Linked DNA regions of Oryzias latipes. The protein of the gene in region 1 purifies or fractionates together with the protein of each later gene. This does not show direct contact. Links are inferred from orthologs where the notes say so. Each region holds a gene or a part of one and is shown on either strand. Other genes may lie near its edges.

The links.
Region 2: the proteins of casp9 (region 1) and dcc purify together in Homo sapiens (co-immunoprecipitation; 3 studies listed by BioGRID and IntAct, with this or other methods). This does not show direct contact. The link is inferred for Oryzias latipes from reciprocal best matches to the Homo sapiens genes CASP9 and DCC.

The regions. Positions count from the first base shown.
Region 1 is NC_019865.2:5,965,134-5,969,698, forward strand, and holds the start of casp9 (caspase-9), read right to left. Parts: upstream 2,886-4,565; 5' UTR 2,663-2,885; coding exon 2,531-2,662; intron 2,439-2,530; coding exon 2,228-2,438; intron 2,152-2,227; coding exon 2,104-2,151; intron 1,147-2,103; coding exon 1,091-1,146; intron 1,010-1,090; coding exon 833-1,009; intron 757-832; coding exon 667-756; intron 358-666; coding exon 307-357; intron 1-306. Other genes in the region: dnajc16 (dnaJ homolog subfamily C member 16), read left to right, coding at 3,446-3,612, 3,684-3,750, 3,825-4,149, 4,224-4,408. UniProt on the Homo sapiens protein: Involved in the activation cascade of caspases responsible for apoptosis execution. Binding of caspase-9 to Apaf-1 leads to activation of the protease which then cleaves and activates effector caspases caspase-3 (CASP3) or caspase-7 (CASP7).
Region 2 is NC_019870.2:29,534,328-29,538,147, forward strand, and holds part of dcc (netrin receptor DCC), read right to left. Parts: intron 715-3,820; coding exon 412-714; intron 1-411. UniProt on the Homo sapiens protein: Receptor for netrin required for axon guidance. Mediates axon attraction of neuronal growth cones in the developing nervous system upon ligand binding. Its association with UNC5 proteins may trigger signaling for axon repulsion.

The DNA.
Region 1 (4,565 bases):
TGGTTATGATGAACTCCTCTCTGAGAAAACAACCTTTTCTTGACCTTTTGACATCTAATCCAGAACTGCTAAAGAAGGAACTTCCTTTCCCAATCATTTGGAGAAGAATTTCTTTCAGTCTCCAGGGTTTGTTTAAGCATGTGTCTTGTTTTTTTTTTTTTGCACTTTCATTGATTTGCCTTTTGGCCTCTGCTTATTTGAAAAGGACAAAGGAATCCTTGTGCTTGACAGAACCTCGGACATCAACTTGAATGCCACTCATTTGGCAAATTGTCTACATAATAAATTGTTCCCTTTCTATCGTACCTGGTCTATTTCTATCCAGCTCCCAGCTGATCTGATCTTGTTGTGGCGGACCTGCATATAGCAAAAAGTAATCAAGCAACGTGTGAGCATGTTCCATGTCAAAGTCTTGAAGGCATGGCAATGGAGTGGAGCAGGAACTTTTGGACTACCGATTGTAGCACCTACATCCCTGCTGCCAGCTTTTTCCTACAGCATTTCTTTTTCCTCTGCTACTGATTCATACCAAGCTGAATAAAGAACTACTCAGTAATGCAATTCTAAGCTTAATTTTATTTCTATATGTCCTCCGTGATGAGAAAAATGCCACGACGACATGTTAAAAACGCCAAAAACACAAAGTAAAAACAGGAGACGCCTCACCTCTGTCCCATGTGAGAGTATGACGACCACACAGCAGTCGTAAATGGAATGATCCTTCCTGGACAAAGCTGACAGCTCAGATTTGATTTGCTGAAAGAAAGACACAAGTGAGCATCTTTACCTTTCAGAACGTTTCAGACCCAGAAGAAGCAGAAAGGACTCTCACCCTTTGTTTCAGATTTGTCCGGACTTCCACCACGAAGTTAAGCGACTTGAATCGTTTCTCTAGCTTGTCACAGTCCACGTTGGATCCTTTGCGAATGCTGAGCTCAGTTTTTGGCTCAAATTCCACGTTGTTTATGATAAGACAAAGACCGCATGGCCTGGCATCCATCTTATAGTACTGACACACAAGCACACCATATGTTATTTAGATCAATTATGCTGGAAACACAGCTGCATGTGGATGATGAAGGCTGCTCACCTGGATGCTGTCCCGTCGTGGTCGGACCTCTGGCCCCTTGAACACCTCGTCAGGTGCTGTAACAACAAAAGATAAGATAAGATAAGATATTCTTTATTGATCCCACATTGGGGAAATTCAATTGTATGAAATTGTATAAAATCTGGTAAACAAACAAACAAAAGGATCCAACATGGTTCCACATAGAACTTAAAGTCCCCCTCCGATGAAAATCACGTTTTTTGAGTTTTTAAATGTACATGTGTTTTTTTCTTATGAAACAGAGCAAATGTATTTAAATCATTTCATTTTAGCATTTCTGAGTATTTCTCCTTTTAAGTCGTTGTCAATCAAACTGTCGGAGAGACGCTCGGTTTGAATAATGAGCCGTTGTGATGTCATAATAGCCAAGGAGCGCATAGGCATTGCGTAAGCTCCCTGATCTGCCCCGTCCAGCGTGCACAAGCTCAGGTGCGGCAGAAGAGGAGATGGCACATTGCTGCTTGTACGGCGTGAATCATGTTCGGTGTGAACGCAGCTTAGCCGTAACTTGTAATCCTAAACTTAAGCCTTCCTCTGGATCCGTGTAGCAGAGCAAATAATAATGATACATTTTTTATTATTATTTTATTAAACTGGTACACACGTTCGTGTTGTCATTGTTCCGAAAGCGCGATTTGGAATCAAAAATGTCACTTTTCACTTTATCGCTAAAGAGAAACTTGTGAGAAGAGAGACTGTCAATCAGTATCATTGATCCCAAGTGTGTCAAGCTTGTCCCTCTTGCAGGACACAGTTATCATCATCAAAAAGGCGGGATCAAGGGCGGGGCTACCGCTCAGCACCACTAGCCACGCCCATGAAGAGGAGATTTTGGAGACAGAGGTTTAGAATGAACATGAAATATGGCGTTTAAAGATATTTAGGTTGTGGGATTGTGGGAACACTACTGGGAACGTTTTTATGAAAATAAATAAAATACATGAAAATGTTATGGGGGACTTTAACACCCCCACCCCTCCTCTCTCTCTTACGTGGACTAGGTTGGGTCCTGGGCTTCTTTGGAACAGCATCTTCAATGTCTACAGTACAAAAGACAAATAAATATTATTTCTATCAAATAAGTGATCAAACTGGACTTTGGCAGAGCAGACTTACAAACTGGATGAGGCTGGATTAGAAGGTATCCCGCCTCCGTGGATTTCCCAGGCTGGAAATGGACTCTTGGAGCTGATTTCTGGAGTAGCTCCAGCAGATTCTGCTGACCCGTGACCCGAAGGCCCTCCAGAAAAGCCGAAAACGCCTCATTCCCGCGGGTCTCTAAGTCCTTAACCAATTTTCGGGCCTGGTCCCGTTTGGTCTCACAGTTCTGTCGGCCAGGACACATTTTTTTAAATTGTTTGTTTTTTCAACAACAACAACACTAAACAAGAGACACTAACATTAGTGGTAGAAACCTACCTTTATGTCGTTTATCATGCTTTGGGTGAACACGTCTTTTCTAAGGAGAACATCACAGAGGTCCGACAGGTCCAACTCCTTTACCAGATGAACTCGGTTTCGGCGAAGGATCCTTTTGTGTTTTTCTTCCATTTCCTTCCACACGAACGCCTTACTACCAATACAGAATCAAAAACAAATTCCGAAAATGTTTTAATATTCAACCCAGAGGCGCGTTTTTAAGGATATAAATTCGTTAAAAAGAAAGCTTCTTCGCATCTAGCTTGTTTTCGATATATTTATGCCTATGGTTGGTTTTCCCCCGAAGTTCCATCAGCCACTTCCTTGTTTACATCATCACCGCCTGTGATAGGCTAGCTCATGGGTACGTTTGATTTCAGTACCGGTGTGTCTCTGTGACTGTAGGGGGAGAGCGGTGCACAAATCCAATCTATTCCCGGCTCGATAAAACGTCAAGTTGTAACACAGAGGTGTTTAAGATGTCACAGAACGCTATTGCATTTACTATTTTTAGCTCTATGCTCTTTTTTTCCTAGAGCGGTTTGCCCCGGAATATTGGTGATTTGTGGCCGAACATACCCCGTGTGTGTATCTCTGGATAGCCAGCATCGTGGAGCTTGAGAGGACCAAAACCACCCTAATGTGGCGTAGAACCGGCGGACTACCTTTGTTTTTGGAGAACATAAACAACTGGAGCAGACGCAGTCCTTAAAATGCGTTTTATTCTGGAGGAAAGGCAACATAGCCACAGGCGGCATTGCCAGTGTTTTTGTGGTTAGCATGTTATTATGGATGCTTCCGCTCTGGCATCATTTGAGTGGAACAGCTGTGCAGATGTGGAGGCAATCCAAAATCCGTGTCACGATGTAGAGGCGTTTTCTGGTGCGAACTGATCCGCTGTCGTGAGGGGGACCGATGGGGGGGTCAAAGATGACCCTGGCTGTGGCCGTGGTCCTGGCGGTGCTGCTGACGCCACCAGCTCGCGCTGCATCTGAGATGGACCCCTACAAAATATTAGGTGTGACCAGGAGTGCAAACTCAGCTGAGATCAAAAAGGTCTACAAGCGACTTGCAAGAGAATGGTAAATATATTTTTGATGGGACAACTAACCAGTTTGACATGTTCAGTTCAAATGAGCCTCTGTTTCTTCAGGCATCCTGACAAAAATAAAGATCCAGGCGCTGAGGATATGTTCATCAAGATCACCAAATCCTATGAGGTTAGTTCTGGTTCAGGTGGGTTTGACCATTTGTAGCAGTCATGCCTGAAATGTGTGCATCATCTCCAATCCAGATCCTGTCCAGTGAAGATAAACGGGCCAACTATGACCGTTATGGGCAGACTGATGACACCCAACCGTATGGCAGCGGTCATTATGGCCATCGCCATGACAACTTCTACTTTGATGAGTCCTTCTTTAACTTCCCGTTCAACAACAAGAACCAAAGAGACTTTGGCGACAACAAGTACACCCTTCACTTCAACCACTACATCAACGACGTGGTTCCTGACAGCTACAAGAGGCCCTACCTGATAAAGATCACCTCCGATTGGTGCTTCACCTGCATCCACATCGAGCCTGTGTGGAAAGAGGTGGTGCAGGAGATGGAGAGTCTAGGTTAGAGATGAGGTCTCCTGTCATGCATGAACTCATATGGGTTTAGATCATCCGTGGATGCCTTGTCTTTGCAGGTGTTGGGATCGGCGTGGTGGATGTAGGCTATGAAAGACGGTTAGCCAATCACCTCGGTGCTCACCGCACCCCATCCATACTTGGAGTCCTCAATGGCAAAGTGACATTTTTCCATTATGCTGTCGCAAAGGAACACTTGAAGCAGTTTGTAGAAGACCTTCTTCCTCAGAGGCTGGTGGAGCAGGTACATACGTGTATGTGGGGAGGGACAAACATGTTTTACACAGATCTAAAGACTTACAGAACAGCATAGAGCTTTAGATGATTTGCGGGTTTAATATTCTGTCCCAGAATTATAAAAGTAATTTTTCTTTGTTACTGCACCTTTGAACAAAAATGTT
Region 2 (3,820 bases), on another chromosome or scaffold:
CATGGACCAAAGTCTATGAGGAATGTTTCCAGAACCTTGTTGGATCTAAATACAATGGTAATGGAGAACCAACCAGACATTGTAGTGGTGGATAAAGAACAGAGGAAAGCCGTTGGGGTGGATGTGGCAGTATATAGTGATGGTAACACCAGGAAGAAGGAACATGAGAAACTGGAGAAACACCACAGACTCAGGAAGGAACTGGAGAAGCATGGAAGATGAAGGTGACAGTGGTGCCTGTGGTAATTGGAGCACTCGGGTCTTCTCGTGATCAATAAAGGTGAATTAAAGTAGAGAAGTAAAAGCCCCACCTCTATGATCACATCAAAACCGCTCTTGTTTTTCTTAGTCCAATCTCTCATAGCAGTTATAAATAAGATGTTTGACTTTTAAATAGTTTGATTTACTCACCAGACTGAGAAATCATGGAAGTGTACACCTTGGGGTCAATGGTTCCCATGGGTGGTGGCAGTAATGGGTTGGTGAAGCTCCGTAGTGGATGGGTGGGCCGAACACAAGCTGTCGGAATGGTACGGCTGCCTCCGGCCTGTGCCTCCTCAGCAACAACAGCAGTAGAAGGGGCCCCTGGGACGGGGCCAACAGGAGGAACAAGCTCCCCTGGTGGAGCTGAGGAACCAGGGAGCAGGGGGGTGGGCTGTTGAGATGCAGGCTGTTGCTGGAGGAGAGTGTTGCTGGGGGCATCTGAGGACAGGGCTAGAAATGAGAGAAGTGGAATCAGAGGCAAGGATGGATGTTATCTTGCTTTGGGCTGCAGTAAGGACTTGCTACAAGAATACTGAAAATAAGAAAAGATGAACTGAAAATACATTTTTGTGACCACCACTTTACGTCCACTTAGTCCGTATCCACATCATTTAGGTCCCTTATGTTTTTGAGATTAACATTAGGCACGGTAAAAAAATAACCAGTTTATTTTGAGGTAGTGACGTGGATCTTCACTGTTGTGGCACTGTTATGGTGTAGCTCCGATTCAGCGCAGTCTCTGAATACCTGGAAACATAGCCTATTAAATTATTTTGAAAAAGCTCTGCGTAGAGCTAGAACCCAGTACTATTCAACCTTAATATCAGAGAATGGAAATAATCCAAGATTTCTTTTGTCCTAAGAGTTCCTTAAGAAGTCTCCAGCTTGTTCAGAACGCAGCAGCTAGATTGTTAGCAGGAACTAGCAGATGAGATCACATCACTCCTTAATATAGGACGCCCCGTCCTATATTAAGGACCTCATAGTCCCTTAACACCAGATTCCAGTTGGGTCATCCGTGCTCCTGTCCCTGACCGTGTACCTCGTCTCTGGCTCGCCTCTACTACTGCTCCTACACCTGGCTGTGGATCCTGTCTCCGGCTCGTCTTGCGCCCCCAGCCATCCCCCGTCTTCATCTGGATGAAGATCATTTGCTGGACTTTAAATATGTAGTTGTAGAGTTAGATAAGCTAATTCTCTCTAAGAGTTCTGGTAAATCGTCTGTCCGTCCTGGGGGAGGATCCCTCCTTCATGTGGACACCCCTGACGTTTCTTCGTTTTTTCCGGATTCCGTTTTTTTAAGGAGATTTTCCTTACAGCGAAGGAGGGTCTGAGGGCAGGGATGTCCAGTTTAGTTTAGTCTGTTTAGTTAAAGTTTAGTATTATCCTATTGAATTCTATGCATTGATTATCCTTTTTGATTGTATGTTTACCTTACATTACCGGTACGAAGTCCATTGAGACGACTGTTGTGAATTGAGGCTGCACAAATAAAATGGAATGGAATGGAATGGTGCAGAATAGCCTGAATCATGTTCCAGAACAGGTCTTCAGTGTTCATGTGATTACAAAAGCTATTCAGGAAGAGAGGGGAAAGGGATGCTAATGTCTAAAAGCAGCGTTTAAGAAGTATATATCATTTATTTTCCATTATAGCATCGTCCAGGTGAATACTTAATTCTTATTGGCTGCTGGGTGTGCATTAAAAAGTTGCAATCCACAGTGATAACCGCACACCTAAAAAAGTAGTTCCGGTAAGTTCCTGTAAGAGGTGAACTTTCTCTCTGAACTTATGCTTTATTCAACACATCGTGGTCATCAGCATAGATACCACTTCGGTACTGGATCACCTGGCTAAGCGGTGCATTGTCATGTTACCGTGACGACGCACTGCACCACGTAATAGTCCACTTTTGTGAAAAAAGTAATCCAAACCGAAGAAATAACACAAATAAAGTACTAAAAACCGGTTGAATAATTTTTTATTTTGTAAATATGGTATAAGTGGGTTAATGGCCTTTGAACGCACTTTGTGGAAGCCCGCTTCCACAAAGTGCGTTCATTCTGAAAATTCACATTTTGTTCGCCATGAACCCTTATATAATGGACAGTGATAAAGCATGACTAAAGAAGCAGTTCCAGCCACGTAGCTTAAACATTCGTTATCTATCAAGAGCTGGAGGTGAAGGACCCAAAATGCAGGAGAACGGGCTTGAAAAAAACCTTTTAATGAATTGAACCATGACAAATGAGTGACAGAACAGACTAGATGACCTGACAAGGATGAACAGAAACCCAGACACTTAAATAGGCTGAGAATTTCTGATAATGCCCACCTCGTCTGGCATTATCCCTTACTTATATAGATAAGGTCCTTAACCAGCAGCCACAGTAAGACAACAAGCACTTCCAAGTTGCTTTGTCATCACAAATACTGAAGTTGTGTTTGATCAAGGTGGAATCTGATTTATGTTGCAGTGATTAAGTTACTTGAAAAATTGTGACGTGTTTTTTAAGAACATGACAAAGCAATTATTTAAAAAATATATTTAATAGCACCATGAGATAAAATGTCAAAAAAACATGTTTTCCTCTCGTAGAAGTTGGACATTCCAGAATAAACTTTGACTGGAATCCTCTTCACCAAATTCTACAGAAAGTCAGTGTTTTCTTTCTGTGGTCAATGTTCACTCTCAGTGACGTCCCAGCAACATTAAGTAAGGAGCAGTCAAGCCCACAACAGAGAACTCTCACCGTTAAGTGGCACACAGCATAGTTCCTTTTCCGCTGGAAGTGTGACGAGACAAGCGAGTGACAAGAGCATCATGAATGCTAAATTTGTCTGAAGTTTAAAACTACAAGACTCCCTCTGAAGTCCAAATGACAGCGGCAGCTACTGCATCTGATCATCTGGATAAATGACTGTTTGAAGGGGAGGCACTTGTAAGGACTGCATTGGGTGTTTGCATGCAGGCGGTTCATTGGGGTGTGTCAGTGTAAATATACCCTGTCCTTGTACACTCCTCTCCCTAGTATTTGCCCCCCAACCCCCATCCTCCGTGCCTTGCTGGCAGCAATCAGGCCTTGCAATTTGTTGGTTGACTTTATGACTCTGAACCCTCTTCTTGTCTCTTTGCTCTTGTTAAATCACTGACAAGAGGCAACCAGGAATCAGTCAATCATTGAATTACAGTTTCCAGCCAGGTCATGTAGTATTTATCTCTGAAAAAAAAAACAGCCTTAAAAGCATGACAGCCAGACGGATGAAGAAAACTGTCAAGATTGAGCTGAGCTCTTAAATGTACTCCGACACTGTTCAGTGAAGTACTATGTGTTTAGTCTACAGAAAGTTAAATCATTTAGCTAAATCATTTATGCTTTGTGGTTGATGTTTTTAACTAATTGTGTGCTGTAGTTTAGAACAATGACAGCACAAAAGATCAGCATTATAATAAGGCAATCGAGCATCCATTTTTCCTGAAAATCAGCCTCAGTTGTTTGGATGTCACGCAAAGTCTGGAAAAAAATACAAATTCTAGGGTAATTTCAACTGATG